2 linked regions of the Oryctolagus cuniculus genome follow. The protein of the gene in region 2 binds, or shares a complex with, the protein of the main gene of each other region. Links are inferred from orthologs where the notes say so. Each region holds a gene or a part of one and is shown on either strand. Other genes may lie near its edges.

Region 1 (4,179 bases), on a different chromosome or scaffold from region 2:
GGAAGACCCCAGAGGGCGGAAGCCAGTGACTAGGGGATAGTGGCTCTCTCCACAGCAGCAACCTCGCGAGAGCTGGCCCTATCCATGGAGAAGCTGGTGGTGGAGTGAGTGGGGGCAGTCTTGGAAGGCTCTAGACACTCCTAAGCCTCTAATTCCATCTGATCTGTTCAGCAGGGCTGTGGGCAATGGGGCAGGCGGCCAAGGCTGGGACTAAACAGAGCCCCTCCCCTCTCCCCGTTTCCAGGCAGCTCCTCCTGCAGCTGCTGATCCTTGTCCAGCAGGTGCAACCTCCAAAAGCAAGCCGTGCTGCCCTCCCCATAAACCCCCATGCCCAGGCTAGACCCCCTTATCTTAGCAATTCAGGTTAATCATGGGTACATACAGCCCTACTGCTCTCCACATGCACACATACACAAAACTCACACCGGTGTGTGTCTACGTATGAATCCCGGACCCCTGGCTACCTCTCCCCACACATGCACAGGCTTGCACACGCACACACACACCCTCCCCTCTGCCTCCATCAGGCACATACCCTCTGCAGGTCCGGCTGGTCGTGGAAAGGACAGTTGGCCAAGTTGGTCTGCGTCTTAGTGCACGTGGTCCGGCCTATCAGCACATCCAAGTAGTATTTCACGCCACTTACGATCTGGGAGGGTGCAAGGAGCAAGAGTCAGCACGCCCTTCACTTTCACACATGCAATCACTCTGCTGTTGTTGCTGGGCTGCCAGAACTGCCACCCACAAGGCCACAGGAGCTGCCTCCCCCTCCCAGGCCACACCCAGGCCCTGGCAACTCCTTTGAGTCCAGGCAGCTCCCAATAGGGTGTCTCCTGCAGCTGGGCGGAGCGATTAAGAGGAAACGTAAGAGGGAAGCCAGGGACTATAAATATGTCTTAGCCAGCTCCAGGAACATGAGGCACAGCTCCGGGGAGCCAGCCAGGGGCAGGCAAACAGTTCCATGTACTGGGAGCACAGGGCAAGGGCCTGCTGTAAAGCAGGGCTCTGCAGGGACAGGGTTCCTGAAGTCCCACTAACTGTGGGCAGGGCAGGAGGCAGCGGGCGCTGTGTTTTAGGCAGGCAGGTGGTTACAGAGTGGCTTTGGGATGCACAGGATGAGGGATCTGGGAGTGGGGGAGCCAGGGCCTCAGACCTTGCCCTGGGATCCCTCGGACGACGGTTTTCCCATCTGTAAAATGGACCCACGACCCAAGGTGGCCTACAGCACCTCACTCCAAGCCGGTGTCCCCCTGGAGGAGACGTGGGACTGCAGGGACCCGCTACAAGCCTCAGGGCCCCAACATTAGCTGACTCCTCTGAGACATGGCCCAGGCCCGTGACTCAGCCGAACTCCCAAGGGAAGGCAGATGTGAGCTGTGACCTGAGCGTGTGCCCCGCTCAGCTGGTGCCAAGTGGCCCGGCTCTCTGGCCTCAGGTCCAGTTCCAGGCTTCAGCCCTGGCTGATGCTCCTGCCTGCTGCCCCTACCCCGTTGCTGGCCAGAGGCCTGACCTCACACCTGCTGCAGCAGCACAGCCCAGGTAGTGCCAGGGGCCAGTGTGGTGACACCAGTCCCCAGGGCTTCTCCCAGGGGAAGGAAAGCCCCGCTGAGTGGCCTGTGCCGAGGAGGACTCCCGGGGCAGGATCACCTCACCACTGGTGTGTACCCTGGAGGAAACATCAGCTTAACCCGGACAGGTCATGGCATGTGCAGCTTAGCAGAGGGTGGGGTCTGAGAGGCGTGCTACTGTGTGATCCTCAGAGATGACACAACACGATAGGGAGGCTGCCAAATACGCACTGGCCCATCACGGACCAACAAGTCCCAGTCCCTCTCACGGATGCCGCTCTCATGTTGACAGCCTGAGGATCTGCTCCAGATCAGAGTTAGGACCTGGACCGTACAGCACTGAGCCTGGGGAAGCTGGGCAGTGGAGGTGGGGGGAGGGGAAGAATGGCGACAGCAGCCGGGTCTGTGCATTATTACAATTCAGCGCATGCAAGCTGACGGCTGATTTTCAAAAGCGCGCGTTAGGGAGGTAAGAGAAAGCGCTTGCTTTCCGGAAACGCACAGCACACGGAGGCATAAACAAGCTTGCATGTTAGGGAGAGGAAGGGGTGCGCTGAGAAGTTGGAGGGATGCTGGAGAAGGGTTCTTGGAGAACGCTCTGTAGCATCTTTGCCACCCTCTGTTCCGTGAACTGGAAACTATGTCAGGTTCAGAAGGCAAAAAGAAGTGTTCAGAAGCTCGGCGGGCTACGGGCTCCGTCCGTTTGTTCTACTCCACTCACGGCCCTTTAATGAACAGCTCCCACTGTGCTCCCGGTGCCCAAGAGGCTGGGGTCCGGGGCTGCGCGGGACAGGGACCCACAGACAGACGCACCCAGACCCTGACCCCTGCGGCGCCTCCAGCAGGCCGGCGCTGGGACCCATGACTAAGGCGCCAAACACGGTCAGCTGGTCCGGTGGGATTCCAGGCCGCCCGCCCGCCCGGGGACTCACCGGCCAGGGCGCGGCCGGATCCCCGGGCCCCCAACCCAGCCCGGCCCGCCCCGGCACACACCTGCCTGCGAGCGCGCACCACCTGCAGCGCGCGGCTGTGGTACCTGTCGTTGCTGCCCTTGTTGTACTCGCTCTCCGCGAAGCCCAGGGCGCGCTGCACGTCCTTCTCTTGGGCGTCGACGTCCTCCAGGCCGCCCAGCAGGCGCGGCGACTGCCTCGTCCTGGCGCCGGCCGCGGGGCTCACGGCCAGGGCGAGGGCCACAACCAGGGCGGCCAGCAGCAGCAACGGAACACCCAGGGACCTCGCCATAGTGCGTGCACAAAGACTGAGCAGCCACGAGCAAGACTGCGCCCGAGTGCCGGCGTTCGTGCTTTTATTGGCTCGCCCCGCAAGGACCCGCCCCCGGCCCGCCTCTTCCGGGCCCTGCCCCGCCCTCCGCGCGGCCCGCCCCTGGGGCGCCGGGCGCCCGAAACCGGGCTCTGGACCCTGAGTCCCGCTGCCTCGGGCGAGGGCAGGGTGGCGGCCTGGGCCCGCGGAGGTCGGGGCGGGGGGCGTCCGTGAGCGCCGAGGAAGCCCTCGGGGAAATCGAGTCTGCGCCGCGTTTTGGGGAACTCGTGAGCCGGCCGCAGCAGGAGAAAATGGGCCTTGGTTCTGGGTTCAGGGCGCCGGGCCGCGCAGCCAGCCGAGGGCCTGGGGCTCCTCGGGGTGCTCCCGGAGGATGTATTTTTGTGCGTCTGCGAGTGGGCGCGGTTTTAAAAGGAGGAAACTTTTCGTTAATACTATGTAGGCTAATCTACTAAATAATATTTCACAGTCTGGCTTTGTCTTTTTTCATTTGGAGCAGGTGCCGTTCGGGCCGGTGTCGTTTGGGGTGCGTGGTGGCCACAAGGTGCTGGTGGCCAACAGCCCAGCTTTAGGGGAGGGGCAGGGGTCAGAGGTCAGAGGTGCTGTGGCAGAGAGATGGCTATCCCGGGACACACAGGGCCTGGAGGTCGCCTTGAGACCCAAGAGGACACGAAGCCCAGGCTAGACCAGGGGAGCAAAGCTCTGTGCAGGGGCCACCGCTGGTGCCGAGTTCTTGGAAGGGCCAAGTGGGCTGGTTAAACGGGGACCCGATGTGCTCCGGAAGCTCTCCGTGCTGGCTGTGTGGACAGCACCCTTAGTGGGGAGCCCCTAGCGGGCTGGGGAAGGAATGTTGCCCCACCTGGGACCCCTTTGTCCCCCCCCCCCCCCCCCCCATTTTCAGGGAGCAACACTGCTGGCTCAGGGCTTCTGCTTACTCCTGGGAAAACTTCACCTGGTTTTATTTGTTATTTTTATTTAATTATATTTATGTATTTATTTTTACTTGAAAGGTAAGAGTTAGAGAGAGAAGGAGACAGAGAGAGAGAAAGAGAATCTTCCATCTGCTGGTTCATGCTCCGAACAGTTGCAATAGCCAGGGCTGGACCAGGCCGAAGCCTGGAACTCTCTCTGGGTCTCCCACATGAGTGGCAGTGGCCCAAGCACGTTGTCCATCTGCCGCTGCTTTCCCAGGCGCATTTGCAGGGGCCAGGATCGGAAGCAGAGCATCGGAGACTTCAACCTCGCAGTGTGATGTGGGATACTGGTGGTGCTGCAGGTGGTGGCTTAACCCGCTGTTCCCCATTGCCAACCCAGCCTGATTTTGAAAAAAATC
Region 2 (4,100 bases):
AGGTTATGGATAGAAATATGCTTCAGGTTTTTTTCCCAAATTAAACGCCGAGAGATTTCATCCACCTAAACAGAGCATAGTCAGTACTTGCATAGACTGTGTGCAAAATGACATAGGTAATACTGTGCAGGTTTTTAGGAGGAAAGCTGAAACTTACAATTATAGATTTTACAATCAAGTTTGGGAACTAACCATGGATTATTATGATCAGGCAAAAAGAAAGATGTAAACTAACACAAATAATGCAACATAAACATCTGGAAAGACATAGAGAAACTGCTTATTTATTAATAGTACTCATTTGAGAAGACTTTCCCAAAGAGAAACACAAGATAGCTTTTTTTTTTTTTTTTTTTGGAAAGGCAGAGATAGAAAGGGGAGGGAGGGAGGGAGGGAAAGAAAGGGAAAGGGCAAGGGAGGGAGGGAGGGAGACCAAAGAGAGAAGAGAGAAAAGAGAGAATGAGAATGAGAATGAATATGAATCTTCCATCCACTGGTTCGCTCCCCAGATGGCTGCAACAACCAGGGCTGGGCCAAGCTGAAACCAGGAGCCAGGAGCTTCTTCCAGGTCTCCCATGTGGATGCAGAGACCCAAGCACTTGGGCCATCTTCTGCTGCTTTCCCAAGCTTATTAGCAGGTAGTTGGGTTGTTAAGTGGGATGCCAGCATCACAGGTGGAGGCTTATCCTGCTATACTACACTGGCCCCAGAAGGACAGGTCTTGGTTTCAGTGAGTTGAGGCACAGCAATGAAAACCATATGCTGTTACAGAACAGGGATAAGGTTGCTTAGTTGGAGTAAAGTACTTTTGTATGGAAGAAGCAAGACTGGAGATCTTTTTTTTTTTTTTTTTCCTGACAGGCAGAGTGGACAGTGAGAGAGAGACAGAGAGAAAGGTCTTCCTTTGCCGTTAGTTCACCCTCCAATGGCCGCCATGCTGCGGCCGGTGCACCGCGCTGATCCGAAGGCAGGAGCCAGGTGCTTCTCCTGGTCTCCCATGCAGGTACAGGGCCCAAGCACTTGGGCCATCCTCCACTGCACTCCCGGGCCACAGCAGAGAGCTGGCCTGGAAGAGGGGCAACCGGGACAGAATCCAGCACCCCGACCGGGACTAGAACCCGGTGTGCCGGCGCCGCAGGTGGAGGATTAGCCTGGTGAGCCGCGGCACCGGCCAAAGACTGGAGATCTCAAGTCCCAGCCCATCTGCCATGCTCCCCTCCAGGTCCCCAGGCACCTTGCTGTTATACTGCTTGCTGTAGGTCTTCTTCCATAGCTCCCACTGGGTGTCCAGTATTTCCTCAGGGTGCAGAGCAAAACTCACCACGGGTAGCAGCAGAACCTTGAGTCCCCACATCCTGAGGAAAGGTGGTAATTAGCTTACCTTGCTTGGCATCAGGAAAACAGCTGGAGTGGTATTCCCAGAAAGGGGCTAGGAGTCATAGCCTCCTTTGAGGAGCTAATATATTAGTCTCTCTTACTTGAAAAATCCATGTCCAAACAATAATCCTAGAGGATACATGAACTCAAAGTTAAGAACCCTTTCCTCTGAATCACAAAACAGAGGGAAACTTGCCTTTGTGAGGACAGCAGAAAACTAAAGGTGATTTTCATACGCTAAAACAAAAAACAGGCGAGCACTAGATTTGTCTGGAATGCTGGCACATTTGGTTCCAAGTATTTTGACCAAGGAGATTCAACTAGCGCCCACACACTTGTACAATCAGACATGAGGTAGCAACTGGACAATCAGGATGGGCTCACCATCTGTCTCTTTTGGGGTCCTCAGCAGGCATGGACACAGACAAGGTGGGAGTGGGGTTAGAGAATACACAAAGGAGACATTCCCAGCTGTTTGCTTCCTGATCAATTTTCGAGACATTCTTTTCTTTTTTGTCTAGATCTTGCCAGGAAAGGCGAAAGGAAATTAACAGTACAAGGAATCTTCAAGAAGTTCACAGAAAATGTGGTTTGTGAAAAAACCCTATGTGGTTCTTAATTTTGCACCAAAATAAACATGCATTTCTCCTTGAACATTTTAAAGTTCCCTGTATTTCCTATTATCCATGTTTACCATCTCTTCACTCTCTATGTACGCCTTTCTTCCTCTTTTTTCATGCTTCCCCTTCCTTAGGCAGGAAGCGGTCTTAATTTCAACCAGATGCTGTCAATAGCAAAGTTTTAGCAAAGTTTCATTTCTGTTTCCAGCAATAAAAAACCTCTGTGACTGGCTGATAAAACAAAAAGCCTCAGGACCAAGGTTTGTTAGAATGTAGCGTGGAAAAGCAATGTTATATATTGAATAAATTCACAGCTTCTCAGAAGCGGATTCATCTCCTGCATCGGACTGCTTGTCTGCAGCAAGTCACAGGACTTGCACAATTCTGAGTCTATAGTCCATTTTTGTGCAATCTTTGCAGACTTGCAAAACACAGCGGAACTTGGGAGATGCCTCAGAGTAGAAAGCACTGAGCTATCACTTTCAGACACTCCTCCTCCCCCCCAATCCTCCAAGTTAACTCTTTTGCTCCCCTGGCCAAAGCAGAAAACTGTATGAGGCTACTTCTGAAGGTCACGCCATCAATTCTATTTTCAACCATGTTCACATACATACAATCGTACAAGGAACGTTACGATTTCTAGGCACATTTGGCCAGGAAAGGATTCAAAGGCATCTATTTTCATCTGCAGCACCTAGTGAGTTTATTTTTATTCCCCAACTCACTAAATTCAAATACTTGTAAAACAAAGAACTAGCAAGGAAGAGAGGCTACAGGATCTAAAAAGTTGAAAATCTTACCTGCTGATGGCTGTGTATGGTTCCTTTCAGCCAGGAAGTGTGCGTAATGTGGGTGGATGACTAGGGGTGCTAGATTTATTCCATCAAGATTGCGGAAGTCAGCTCTAGCAGTCGGCTGGAAATTTTGGATAACGGAGGGAGGCGGGGATAGAAATGCTGAGAAGGGGTGTTAAGAAGGAAGGAGACAGCGGGTTTGCACAGCATTTGTGTTTGTGTGCGTGCAGTGTTATATATGTACCAGGCTGGAGAGTTGCTAAGTATTTAGTTTCGCATGACTGTCTTTGGAGCAGACAGAAAAAAAAAAAAAAAAAAGACCATGACACTCATTAACCAAGCTGGAACTTACCTTCTTCTCTGGTGGGGAAATACAAGGAGTTAGGAAAATGGAAGGACACAGCTTTGTTCTCTCCCATCCTTCTTCTTTAACATCCATTATTGAGGGATTATAATCTTTTCCTAGTATTTTCCTTGTATGATCCACCTCCATAACATTTGATTTGACTCTCTCACTTCTGGGTTAAAGGAATTAAATGTAACAGGCTAGGAAAGGGTAACATAAGGAAAGCCATAGCTTCCAAAATTGTAATTTCTAAGTTGGTGAAAAGCTGTCATCACTTCCAGGCAGGAGACTAGCTTTCCTAGCCTAATATGGTTTTCGTGAGGGAGGAAATGCCCAGAAAATCCAGATGAAACTGGTTCTAAAAGTAACCAAAGCCAACATTCCTGGTTTATGACAGCACTAGAATCAATGCCCTAACTTACGATGGATTCATGTGACTGACGGTATTGCTATAACTCTCAGATGTTGGGAAGCCTGGCGAACATTATGTCTCCATTATTAAAATCTCCAATCTAAGTCCAGTCACATGAGTGTCTCCAAATGCTTCCCCAGCAAAAAAACATGTGACACATCATAAGAATCTAACTCAGTCACCAAATCACACCCCTATTTCCTTCCATAAACAGTTATGAAGAAACAGGAAAAAAAGGTCACTGGAATAGAAAAGATATTTCATAGGATTTGGATTCAGTCTCTAGCTGGATTCCACACAGAGACTCTAAAGAACACAGGTTTAAACTCTAGATTTTAAGAGTTGCTAATAAACCACAGTGGTCCTTAGAGGGAAATCAGCTCTAGACCTGAACAAATTTCCCCATCACTAACTCCTTTAAATCCAGAACAGGACGTAACCAAGGACTTTAAGGCATCAATTATGCACCCTAGTGGTTTCAAGTTCCAACTATACCCTCCCTCTCTCCCAAGAGCCTTGGTAACTCCCACCCCCAACCTTGTGGTTAGAAT

The links. Proteins that work in one complex are often made in the same cells at the same time.
Region 1: the proteins of CTSK (region 2) and CST3 are in contact, whole or in part, in a crystal structure (PDB 8V57), measured with the Mus musculus proteins. The link is inferred for Oryctolagus cuniculus from reciprocal best matches to the Homo sapiens genes CTSK and CST3. Residues at the interface, in NP_031828.2 of Mus musculus: Asn132, Gln133, Gly134, Gln135, Cys136, Gly137, Cys139, Trp140, Glu173, Asn174, Tyr175, Cys177, Gly178, Gly179, Gly180, Tyr181, Met182, Ser248, Ala251, Ser252, Gln257, Phe258, Val274, Asn275, His276, Ala277, Ser297, Trp298, Ser301, Trp302; in NP_034106.2 of Mus musculus: Pro27, Arg28, Met29, Leu30, Gly31, Ala32, Pro33, Gln75, Leu76, Val77, Ala78, Val80, Asn81, Tyr122, Pro125, Trp126, Lys127, Thr133.

Annotation. Positions count from the first base shown.
Region 1 is NC_091442.1:47,820,441-47,824,619, forward strand, and holds the start of CST3 (cystatin-C precursor), read right to left. Parts: upstream 2,832-4,179; 5' UTR 2,811-2,831; coding exon 2,562-2,810; intron 650-2,561; coding exon 536-649; intron 1-535. UniProt on the Homo sapiens protein: As an inhibitor of cysteine proteinases, this protein is thought to serve an important physiological role as a local regulator of this enzyme activity.
Region 2 is NC_091438.1:47,266,379-47,270,478, reverse strand, and holds the start of CTSK (cathepsin K precursor), read right to left. Parts: upstream 2,821-4,100; 5' UTR 2,798-2,820; intron 2,459-2,797; exon of another isoform or gene 1,794-2,458; coding exon of another isoform or gene 1,762-1,793; intron 1,356-1,761; coding exon of another isoform or gene 1,355-1,355; coding exon 1,235-1,354; intron 66-1,234; coding exon 1-65. UniProt on the Homo sapiens protein: Thiol protease involved in osteoclastic bone resorption and may participate partially in the disorder of bone remodeling. Displays potent endoprotease activity against fibrinogen at acid pH. May play an important role in extracellular matrix degradation.